Linked DNA regions of Bombyx mori. The main gene of each other region encodes a partner of the protein of the gene in region 3 in a complex. Links are inferred from orthologs where the notes say so. Each region holds a gene or a part of one and is shown on either strand. Other genes may lie near its edges.

Region 1 (3,041 bases), on a different chromosome or scaffold from region 3:
ATATCCTAATTCAGTAATGAACAGTGACTCAAGAAATGTAGACTGCATAAAAAGAAAAGGTATTTTTTTTAGAAAGTTACAAACTTTATTAATACTAAAGTTACAGTTTCTTGGGATTCATTAGGAACAATATAATTCTTAAATTGGGTACAAAAGCTTATAAATGTGTATTTTTTTTATAGTGACACATTGTAACTTCAATGCCTTTAGCTTTATGTAGCTTAATGCAGGAGAATGAGTATCTTGAACGTGATTAAGTTGCACTATGTTGAGATTCAAGACACAATTTTTTTTATGCCTGTATTCTTTATGAGCAGTATTAATTATTGAATAAATCATTGGAAACATAATTAGAATAAGTTTATTAAATTACATTTGTGCACTTTCTCCACTGCCAGCTTAAATTATGCCGACCATTTGTATACAAATGCAATACATAACATTTGTAATAGGTATTTAAAAACAAAAAATTACCCAATTTTTTTTAGATTGTCATATGGTTTTAGGTTAATATACAAAACTACTGGTAATAGAAGCGAACAATTATTCTAAGATGAATCTGGTTTCAAAACTAATGGTACTCATTATACCGTCAATTACCTTGCAAACTTTCAGCTTATACACACAAAAATAAATATGTACAAGTAACAAAATATTTTAGTTTTGAAAATAAATAATAAGTAAATAATAGGCAGCAGTTTGGCTGTGCTCCTGGCATATCTGATGTCTATGAGTGATGGTGACATCAGGAGGGCCACAAACATCTGCCTGCAATGGCAGTAAAATAAAAACTTACTTTCAGTAAGATTTTTTATTTTTATATTGAGTTAACAAAAGGAAGAGGTAAGTTTAGTGTAATGCCACACAGCAGTTTTTTCATGATTATTGCATAGCTAAACATACATTAAATTATTAATGTGTAATATTTTTATTTGTAATAGTAGTTCTCTAAACATACAAGTGAGTCATAATAGAAGAATAGAAATATTTTACTTTTAATTCACACATTTTTCAAGCTTTTAGTTTTAGTTTGCCAAGATCATTTCTAAGTTTATTTAAGTTTTCTTGCAGTGCTTCTTGTTTGTTTTCTAAAGCACATATGTGATCATCTGTTCTTTTGATTTCTTTGCTAATGTACTCCATACGTTTGGAGACGTTTTGTCTGGCTTCTTCCAAATCTTGCTTCACCAATACGGGTCCGATGAGTTTGTATACCTCTGAATCTTTTCTTAAGAGTTTTAGTTCCTCTTTGACTGCTTTATTTTCATTTAACTGGCTGTCTAATTGTTGTTTCTGAGTGACCGCTTTCTTTATGTCTTTTTGAACACCTTGAAATAATTCGAGCTGTTTTTGAAACTTTTTTTGTATTTCTTCCGCCATTGTGTTTCAGTCAAGGTATGATTTGATAGAAAATAAACAGTTTAATACAGAAATCTTTTCCGTTTTTTTTCACCTGCTCAAAAATTTTAGTTGAGGTTATGTCTCAAATATATTAAGTGTATAATCTATGGGTTATGTGTGTATTCTCTATGGTTTTGTCATTTGTCTGACATTGATTTTGAAATTAACCATAGATAATACACAAAAAATTTCAAGTGTCACTACGTACCGGTAAAATGGGGCGATTAGGGACAAATTCCAACTTTATGACCAATTTTAAGGTAGATGTTGATGTATATAATGCTATATCAGGATCGAAATGATTGAGTCTTGGGGGCATCTTTGTTGTCCAATTTAAAACTATGCAACTAGCATTCCAGTTTAAGCAAAAAAAGCAAAAATAGGTGTAATCCCTATTTACCCGAAAATTGCGGTTAATTGGGACGAAATGAGAAATTTGCTAGGGCTGCCACTACTTGGTTTTAATTTATTTATTTATTTAGTTGCACCAACAAAGTGATCATCAACTTGATTACATTTATTTACTTATGATTAATTTATATTTACTTGAGAAATGATCCGCGACAGATTTGTCCTGTAAGTTGTGATACAATTAAAAAAAATTTATTTCATCACTTAAAATTAGTTCAGCGTAATCGGACAACTCCGAATGAACATTGACGGAGACCATGCTACCGTGGACATTATTGTAGTCCCAAAGGAGAGTAAGCTTTCTTATAAACGGTTTATATTTTTTCGTTCTTGGTAAGTACTTAGGGGCTGATATTTTTATCTGGGTTAAGAGATTAGGTGTGTTGGTTATTCCATGGATTAATCAGATGAATACCCCCACTCTGAACAAATATTAAATATTTTACTATGTATTACTTAGACATTTTTGTCCACCTTGACATTTCATTGTTCTTGTTAGATGTCTGTGCAAAATCGACTTACTTATATTAAATTGCTTAGCTATTTCAACTAAAGACTTATTCCCAATTTCAAAGGCTTCTATTGCTGTTTTTAATATTAAGGGATCATATCTCTTTTAAGGCTTTGCACTCTTTAATACGTACACGCGAGGCATTATCTAAAAATAGAAAACAGTACGTAACTGATAATATAAGTATTTACCAAACAATAAAATAACACATTGATAATTTTGAATAAAAGTTCTAGACAAAAACATCATGAATAAACAAGATTTTTACCAACAAATTTAAAAAATATTGTTATAACTACATAGACAACCCTACAAACCTGTACCTATTTATACTCAGCTCGTTTCCATTTCACGTATTCTCATCCCAATTGACCCCTTTTTCGTTGTTATTTGTACCTAAGACGTCCCCAATATCCCCAAAAACAACAGATTTTTACATGTATTTTTATTTTATCAAATACATTAAAACCAATAACAACTGAGACTTACCTTTAATATATATGATGGCTCAAACACTAAATAACGTGTATAAATCACAGTCGTCTTCTATTAATATCAAATAAATAAAAGAGAGCAAAGTTTCTAGCACCAAAATAATGACCACCACAGGAAGTTAATTTGAAACGCGATTTTTTATAAGTTAGCAGCTATTATCATGCATATTCAGAGTTGTTTTGTGAACTTTCAACATTCTACTATTAAACTAGAAAAAATGGAA
Region 2 (3,761 bases), on a different chromosome or scaffold from region 3:
GTTCAATCACAACCACTTGGAACATCCTACTCCCGACTAGGCGCGTTAACACTTCCGCCTCCGCCATTCGCCTCTTCATCATGTACGACCAACCCATACCGTCGGCCCCGAAGGTCAAATACTTAGACGTCACCCTCGACAGAGAAATGACATTCCGCCCCCACTTGAAGACGGTACGTGATCATGCCGCCTTCATACTAGGATGTCTCTACACTCTCTATCCGATGATATGCAGGCGAAGTAAATTATCCCTTAGAAATAGGGTGACACTCTACAAAACTTGCGTACGCCCTGATATGACCTATGCAAGCGCAGTGTTCGCTCACGCGGCCCGCACTAGCTTAAAATCATTCCAAGTTATTCAATCCCGTTTTTGCAGGATAGCCGTCGGAGCTCCACGACGACCTGGACTTAGAGTCCATCAGTAAGTATCTTCAGTCGGCGTCAATGCGCCACTTCGATAAAGCGGCACGACACGAGAACCCTCTCATCGTGGCCGTCGGTAACTACAATCCCGATCCTGCGGTGAGAATGGAAAGCTGTCGACGTCGCCCCAAACACGTCATTTCGGATCCTCCCGATCCACTAACAGTGCTTTTAAGTACCTCAAGCACCGGTCATCGTTCTCGTCGAACCCGTCATCGTTCTCGTCGAACCCGTCGCTTGCGACGAAGGGCTCGACGAATAAAGTAACCCTCAGACACAGCCCACTGAGTTTCTCGTCGGTTCTTCTCAATGGGTCGCGTTTCCGATCAGGTGGTAGATTCTGCGAAGCACGGCTCTTGCTAGGGTTTGTGTTAACAACATCATCCGGCTTGAGCCCCGTGAGCTCACCTACTAGTTAAGGCGACACTGATATAGCCTCTCAAGGCTATCAGCATAGGTAGGAAAAAAATAATCTAATCATACTTACTTGGCGTAGGGATACGGTGATCATGCAGGCGGTTTCCCCCAGGGTGAGGCTGCTCCATTGCACTATGGAGTGGTTGACCCTTGCGATAATTTTTATTTTTTAAAGGTTTCACTTCTACCGTGTGTGACTTGCACACACGTCACACATACATTTTTTTTTTCTTATCTAAGCTGGGTATTACGGATAAAATGTTCCTACCTATAGTCCTAACCTTGCACCTTCAGACTTCCACCTGTTTCGATCTCTTCAGAATTTTTTAGGCATTGTCAGGTTAACATCACGAGAGGACTGCCAAAACCAATTGTCGCGGTATTTTGATCGGAAGCCCCATAGCAATGGGATCATGTCCCTACCTACAAGATGGCAAAAAGTTATCGAACAAAATGGTACCTACATACTTTAGTTAAATGTAAATAAACAATATTAAAAAATGTGAATTTTCTTAAAAAATGCGAAGAAACTTTTTCCCCAACTATTGTACTATTAGAACTTAGTAGTTTAAATTTTATTAGTAATAGACAAAGACTTTAATGCTTTTAATCTAAGGATTAGGATATTATCAAAATACGTCCCAAAAATGCTTTTTAAATATAATAGATGCTTTTCAGGAGTTGGTTGTCATGACTCAAACTTATCTCAAGTGTTTCACAAACTATGGTCACAATTTATTTGAGGGTAAAGATTTTCTTGTGAAGTAATAAAAAAAAAAATTGCCTAAAAGGTAAAGTAGCCAGCGTTCGCAAAAAAAAAACTGACATGTACATTAATGTACATAACCTAATCCGTGTATTCGATAAAAACTAGTTAATTTGAGTTTTTGTTAATTTAAAATACATTTACATGTTCTTTTATTTTTAAAACTTTCAGTAAACCGTGATTATTTTTACTTTTCAAAGAGAGTTAAATTGATTACTCTTTTTTTAAAACTATATAAAAAAAAATCCTAAAATTTTGATTTCCATTTCCCCTACCTACCTAGAGTAAAATGGCTAAAAATACATCAAAAGTAGGAAAAAAAACGAATGAGGAAATCTTTGCTGGTTTCCAAACTCTTCGTAATGAACAACGTCAATTAGGGAGTAAAATATCAGAATTACAAATGGAGTTAAACGAACATAAGTGAGTAAATGTGGAATAAATCTATTGCATATCAATCTACTGCTTAAAAAAATACAAAATACATAGTAAATTATGTCTACAGGATCGTAATTGAGACTTTGCGGGGAGTGGAGTTGACCCGTAAGTGTTTCCGGATGTTTGGGGGCGTGCTTGTCGAACGCACCGTAGCTGAGGTGTTGCCAGAGCTGATCAGCAATTATGAACAGCTACCTAAGGCCATCCAGTCCCTAGAAGACCAACTCACTCAGAAGGGAGAGGAGATCAATAAATACATTGAGGAACATGATATTCGCATCCAACGTGCTGATCGCACCATGCCTGAACCACCTCCAGAGCAATCCACCTCTACCAAGTCTAATGTGCTAGTTGCTAGCGGTTAACTATACTGATCCTTTCATTTCATATAGCTGTCGCAGTGTATTGACAGTGAGACTAGTCCTACATTTGCCTAAAGCAGTGTGAGGTAGTACTGGGAAACTTTTTATTATTAACAATACTATTACGGTGTGGCTTGATAAATTAGTTCTGGCTGATGTTTAGGGGCAAGGGGGGCAAACATGGTATTATGAAGCAGTACTTTATGAATATGATGACAAGAAAAGGAAAATCTAACTGAATATCCATCTCAACCAGATAAATAAATCATTTTAGTGTGACAATACTCCAAGACACTTAACCACATATTTAAAGAAAGGAATACTACAGCGAAAACTCCACAGAGAATAATTAATTCCCCAGCTGAATGTGCTCAAATAATGTGGAATTAAACTCAATAAACAGTTTTTTCAGGCAGTAGAATATGAACCCTTGTCTAGTGGAAAGTAGTATGATAATAAACTTTAATAATAAAATAGATCTTGAACAACTTTTCAACACTTTTCATGGAATATGTAATACAAATGCAGAGAAGCAGTCTCTTTGTCCCAACAATTATGAGAATAGCTTCATTTAAGAAGTCAAGACAATATGGAGTTTTTTGTTGTTGTCCTCACCATTCTTTAACAATGTCTAAGGTGACAGTGATATATTTCTAATCAAAAACAATAAGCTTTGAATGTTTAAACTCTAAACATTAGAGTAATATATGAGAGAAAAATAATTTAAATAGTAAAATGTTTTCCACATTGTGCTATATGTATATTCCCAATGCTGTCACAGCATCTGAAGCTCACCTATGCAGAGTCAATGTGATTGGTAGGCAACTGTAATAAGTAGAAATATCACTGAAACCTTGAGAGTATTGTTTAACTGTGTACATAGCTTTAAGGTTTACTGCTATTTTGAAGTGTTTGGCCAGTTAACAAGCCTGAATGCCTGAATTTTTCATTTGCCCTTGCCCAGACGAGCATACGGCTCACCATTGCCAGGGGTAGAGCCAACTTACTGCCAACAATTTGAATGATATACTATACGCATGTCCGAGTTCAGAGATGAACTATGGCAATCAGGTAATAACTTTGTGTAAAAAGTCTCAACTGAAAAGTTAATAAGTTTGGATAATTTATTACTTGCACCATACTCTAAGTGAGCATGGTTAGATTATTACCTTATTTCTATGGACAACTATACAATATAATTAAAACTTCCTATACTCTTAGCAGGATGGTGACATTCATAATGTTGTCAGAGGTCTGATAAAATTTTAATACCAGGTGGGATGTCACAATAAAACAGTGACAACTTTTTCTGTTTCATCAGGTGAATTTTAATATGATTATAAAACATGATC
Region 3 (3,761 bases):
TACAACGTAAATGCGCCACACACCTTGAGATATAGTTCTAAGGTCTCAGTATTAGTCACAACGGCTGCCCCACCCTTCAAACCGAAACGCATTACTGCTTCACGGCAGAAATAGGCGGGGCGGTGGTACCTACCCGTGCGGACTCACAAGAGGTCCTACCACCAGTAATTACGCAAATTATAATTTTGCGGGTTTGATTTTTATAGCACGATGTTATTCCTTCACCGTGGAAGTCAATCGTGAACATTTGTTGAGTACGTATTTCATTAGAAAAATTGGTACCCGCCTGCGAGATTCGAACACCGGTGCATCGCTCGATACGAATGCACCGGACGTCTTATCCTTTAGGCCACGACGACTTTTAAATTAACTGATGTAACTATAGATTGTGCTTTTAATATATTAAGGTCCATGGATTCTGATGAATAGAGATACAGCCCATCTATTGCTGAGATAACAGACACTGCAATGTGAAGAATTCTGCCAAATACATAGAGTAGATAAACTTTCAAAGAAATTGGAACAACAGCTGTACTATAGTATACACCAGAACATGTGATTTAATGGTGGTAAAAATAGATAAGGCAGGGGTAGGAAAATTCAAATTTAACAATGCTCTGCATTGCATGCAATCTTCATATTTATTTCTCAAAGACATTCCTTGCTGGTCAGTAAAACATTAGGTTACCTGAGCAAATCCTTTAGTTGGATTTTGAGTCCTCACATCAAAAACATGAAACTTCCCTTCAAGTGTGGTTGCCACTAATTTATTCATTGGAATATCTTTACGATCGAATTCTAAGGAACATACCTAAACAAACAAAAATTCTTCAATATTTATCTATTAATTTTGACTTAGATATAATTTAATATATATATATATATATATTTTTTTTTTTATTGCTTACGTGGGTGGATGAGCTCACAGGCCACCTGGTGTTAAGTGGTTACTGGAGCCCATAGACATTTATAATGCAAATGCGCCACCCACCTTGAGATATAAGTTCTAAGGTCTCTGTATAGTTACAACGGCTGCCCCACCCTTCAAGCCGAAACGCATTACTGCTTCACGTCAGAAATAGGCGGGGTAGTGGTACCTACCTGTGCGGACTCACATGAGGTCCTACCACCAGTTATATAAATATATATCTCTATTGCAAAACAACCTATCAAGCTAATTTAGGATATATCATAAACTACAAAGAATTAAAACACACACAGATAATAACAAGTCATTGTTCATCAGAGTACCAGTTGAGATAATGATAAAAATTTCGAGATTAACTGAATTTATTTACTTCAATTGTGTTGATGTTTTCTTAAATAATTACTCACATTAAAATTAAAATGAACTCCCTCCCCCACTACTGTGACTTTTTGAAAAATATAACACATCTTTCTTAGGACAAGATTAAAGTGAATAACTACTGCTACTATACAACTAGTAATGACCCTGTATTTACTGATGTTAACAGGTTTCAGTAACAACTTTTTATCATGCATGTTGTATAATATGCCTATTGCGAGTTGTGACATAAAAATCTTAAATTTAGTCTTGAAATTACATACTTACTCCATTCTTCAAATTACATTCCCACCTAAGTGACATTGTTCTCAAATCAAACATTTTAAGATCTCCATTGTCATAACCAGCAACTACAATCCTTTCAGAATCATTAAATGAGTTTCCGAAGCCAACAGCCCAGCAATCCCTTCTAGTCTCACCTTGCATTGGTTGCATGTTTGCAACAGGTTTACCTCTTTGCCTTGGATCCCAAACCTTTACTGTTCCTATAATTTCAGTAATTATTATGTTATCACTACCATTTTTATTTTTCCTAAAGAGTTTTAAACCCAATGTCTGTTTCTCTGATTACTTATTCTAAATGACTTAACAAATTTTGATACTATTTTCAAAGATATAAATAGAAGTGTGAGAAAGGTTTGTGTATAAAATTTGTAAATATTTTGGACAAAATCAAAATCTGATGAGGATAAAAAAAAAACTATCCCAGTATGTCAACATGGCTAATGGTAGTCAAATCTTAGAAGGTATTGTAATATTGATTTAGAAAATCTACTCATCACCACACGAGTACCCTTTAATGTAACAGGATAATCCTTGGCATGAAACCTTACCATCTCTACTGCCAGTTACAATTTCAGGAGCTCCACAGTTGGTTGTGTTACCTCCCATCCCATCTATTGAGTTAATTATATCTGAATGTTCTTTTGTTATGTACACTTGGGAACCTTTTTCTAAGTCCCTATAGAAAATAAATTATTTATTAACATTCGATTTTTATGATTATCCGGAAAAAGTATGGATTTTATGATTTTGTTACAAACCATACTTCCAAAGTGCCTCTAAAGTCTCCAGTAGCAAATCGTCTCTCAATGTCGCTACTTGCTCCAAACGTTCCACATTTAAACGAGTTAGACCTCTCAATTTCTTTTATTTTCTTAATTTCTCCGGCGTTTATTTCAAATATTTCAATGGTACCCGAGCCTTTCGGTAAAGAACCAAGTACTATAAATTTAGCCGAACATGGTATCCACTTGCAATCAAATAGTGAATGGTTTAAGTTATTTTCAATATGGGTAATTATTTGGGGGGTATTCAATTCTTCCATGACTTAAAAATAGATATAAAAGAAATATTCAAAGGTTTATGCGAATCTTTAGCGAAAACAAACGTGACAGACAGCATTGGTTTTTGGTTGCTAGGCAACAGCATCATAGGCCACATAATATTGCTTTTTTTAAAAGATTTTATGACTTGGTAACTAAGACTTTTAGGTCATGTCTTATTTTAATTAGTATTCTTATTTTTATGAAAAATTATAAATATTATGGAGTGAATGAAGATGATTAGGTAATTTGAGACATTAATCAACTGGGATGAAATTAAATGAATTGAAATGAGATGATGTGGGATGAAATATCAGTAAAATGGTGGTGGTCATTCATTTACTGAGATTTTTTCAGCGGACTTGTTGGAGGATCCCGAGAAGTTACGTCCAGCGGCTTTGTTTCATTTTCCCAGATTTGTCCACTTTCACATATATTAAACTGTTAATAAACCACCGTTATTACACATTTAAACCTGAAGAAACACTAAATAGACAAAATAAAACAAATCACACAATTTCACTTCTTGCGTTCCCGCCAAAAAGTCCATATAATATTTTACGCAAGTCTCAAAAAATATTAAATTTTCAACCCAGCACACTTCACTCTGCTTAAGCCTCCCATGTTCCTATCATTTCCATTTCCTAGACTAGCGCTAATTTAGTTATTCTTTTTTATAAAGCCTTGATGGGGGACTAACTCACAGTCCACTTGGCGTTAAGTGGTAACGGCAGCCCGTAGATCTACAACGTAAATGCCGCCACCCACCTCGAGACATGAGTTGTAAGGAACAATACAGCAGCTGCCCCACCCTTCAAACCGAAACGCATTACTATTTCACGGCAAAAATAGGCAGGATGGTGGTACCTACCCGTTCGGACTCATAAGACGTACTACCACCAGTAATCTTCTAACATTTTTCAGCTTCTCCCCTACTCAAGATGGTGCTCCTTACTTCTTTCTACCCTTCATAAGTTTTAGAGACACTAAAAGGTTAATACTTGAATTATCATTTCAAATTTTAACCTGATTAAAACCTCTGAAAAATCTTTCTTCTTTTTTAAATCACTTTCCGTCCTTCAGTTCGATTTTTTGTTACAATAGACTTGGCATTATGGGCCCTTTTTGTC

The links. Proteins that work in one complex are often made in the same cells at the same time.
Region 1: dynein axonemal assembly factor 10 (region 3) and prefoldin beta subunit share a complex: the UniProt entries of both Homo sapiens proteins name them as parts of the PAQosome complex. The link is inferred for Bombyx mori from reciprocal best matches to the Homo sapiens genes DNAAF10 and PFDN6.
Region 2: dynein axonemal assembly factor 10 (region 3) and prefoldin subunit 2 share a complex: the UniProt entries of both Homo sapiens proteins name them as parts of the PAQosome complex. The link is inferred for Bombyx mori from reciprocal best matches to the Homo sapiens genes DNAAF10 and PFDN2.

What each region holds. Positions count from the first base shown.
Region 1 is NC_085112.1:4,987,483-4,990,523, reverse strand, and holds prefoldin beta subunit, read right to left. Parts: upstream 1,512-3,041; 5' UTR 1,381-1,511; coding exon 1,012-1,380; 3' UTR 523-1,011; downstream 1-522. UniProt on the Homo sapiens protein: Binds specifically to cytosolic chaperonin (c-CPN) and transfers target proteins to it. Binds to nascent polypeptide chain and promotes folding in an environment in which there are many competing pathways for nonnative proteins.
Region 2 is NC_085129.1:193,823-197,583, forward strand, and holds the start of prefoldin subunit 2, read left to right. Parts: upstream 1-1,542; 5' UTR 1,543-1,898; coding exon 1,899-2,032; intron 2,033-2,114; coding exon 2,115-2,412; 3' UTR 2,413-3,761. UniProt on the Homo sapiens protein: Binds specifically to cytosolic chaperonin (c-CPN) and transfers target proteins to it. Binds to nascent polypeptide chain and promotes folding in an environment in which there are many competing pathways for nonnative proteins.
Region 3 is NC_085131.1:9,119,397-9,123,157, forward strand, and holds the start of dynein axonemal assembly factor 10, read right to left. Parts: upstream 2,736-3,761; 5' UTR 2,634-2,735; coding exon 2,350-2,633; intron 2,268-2,349; coding exon 2,140-2,267; intron 1,792-2,139; coding exon 1,574-1,791; intron 812-1,573; coding exon 689-811; intron 1-688. UniProt on the Homo sapiens protein: Key assembly factor specifically required for the stability of axonemal dynein heavy chains in cytoplasm.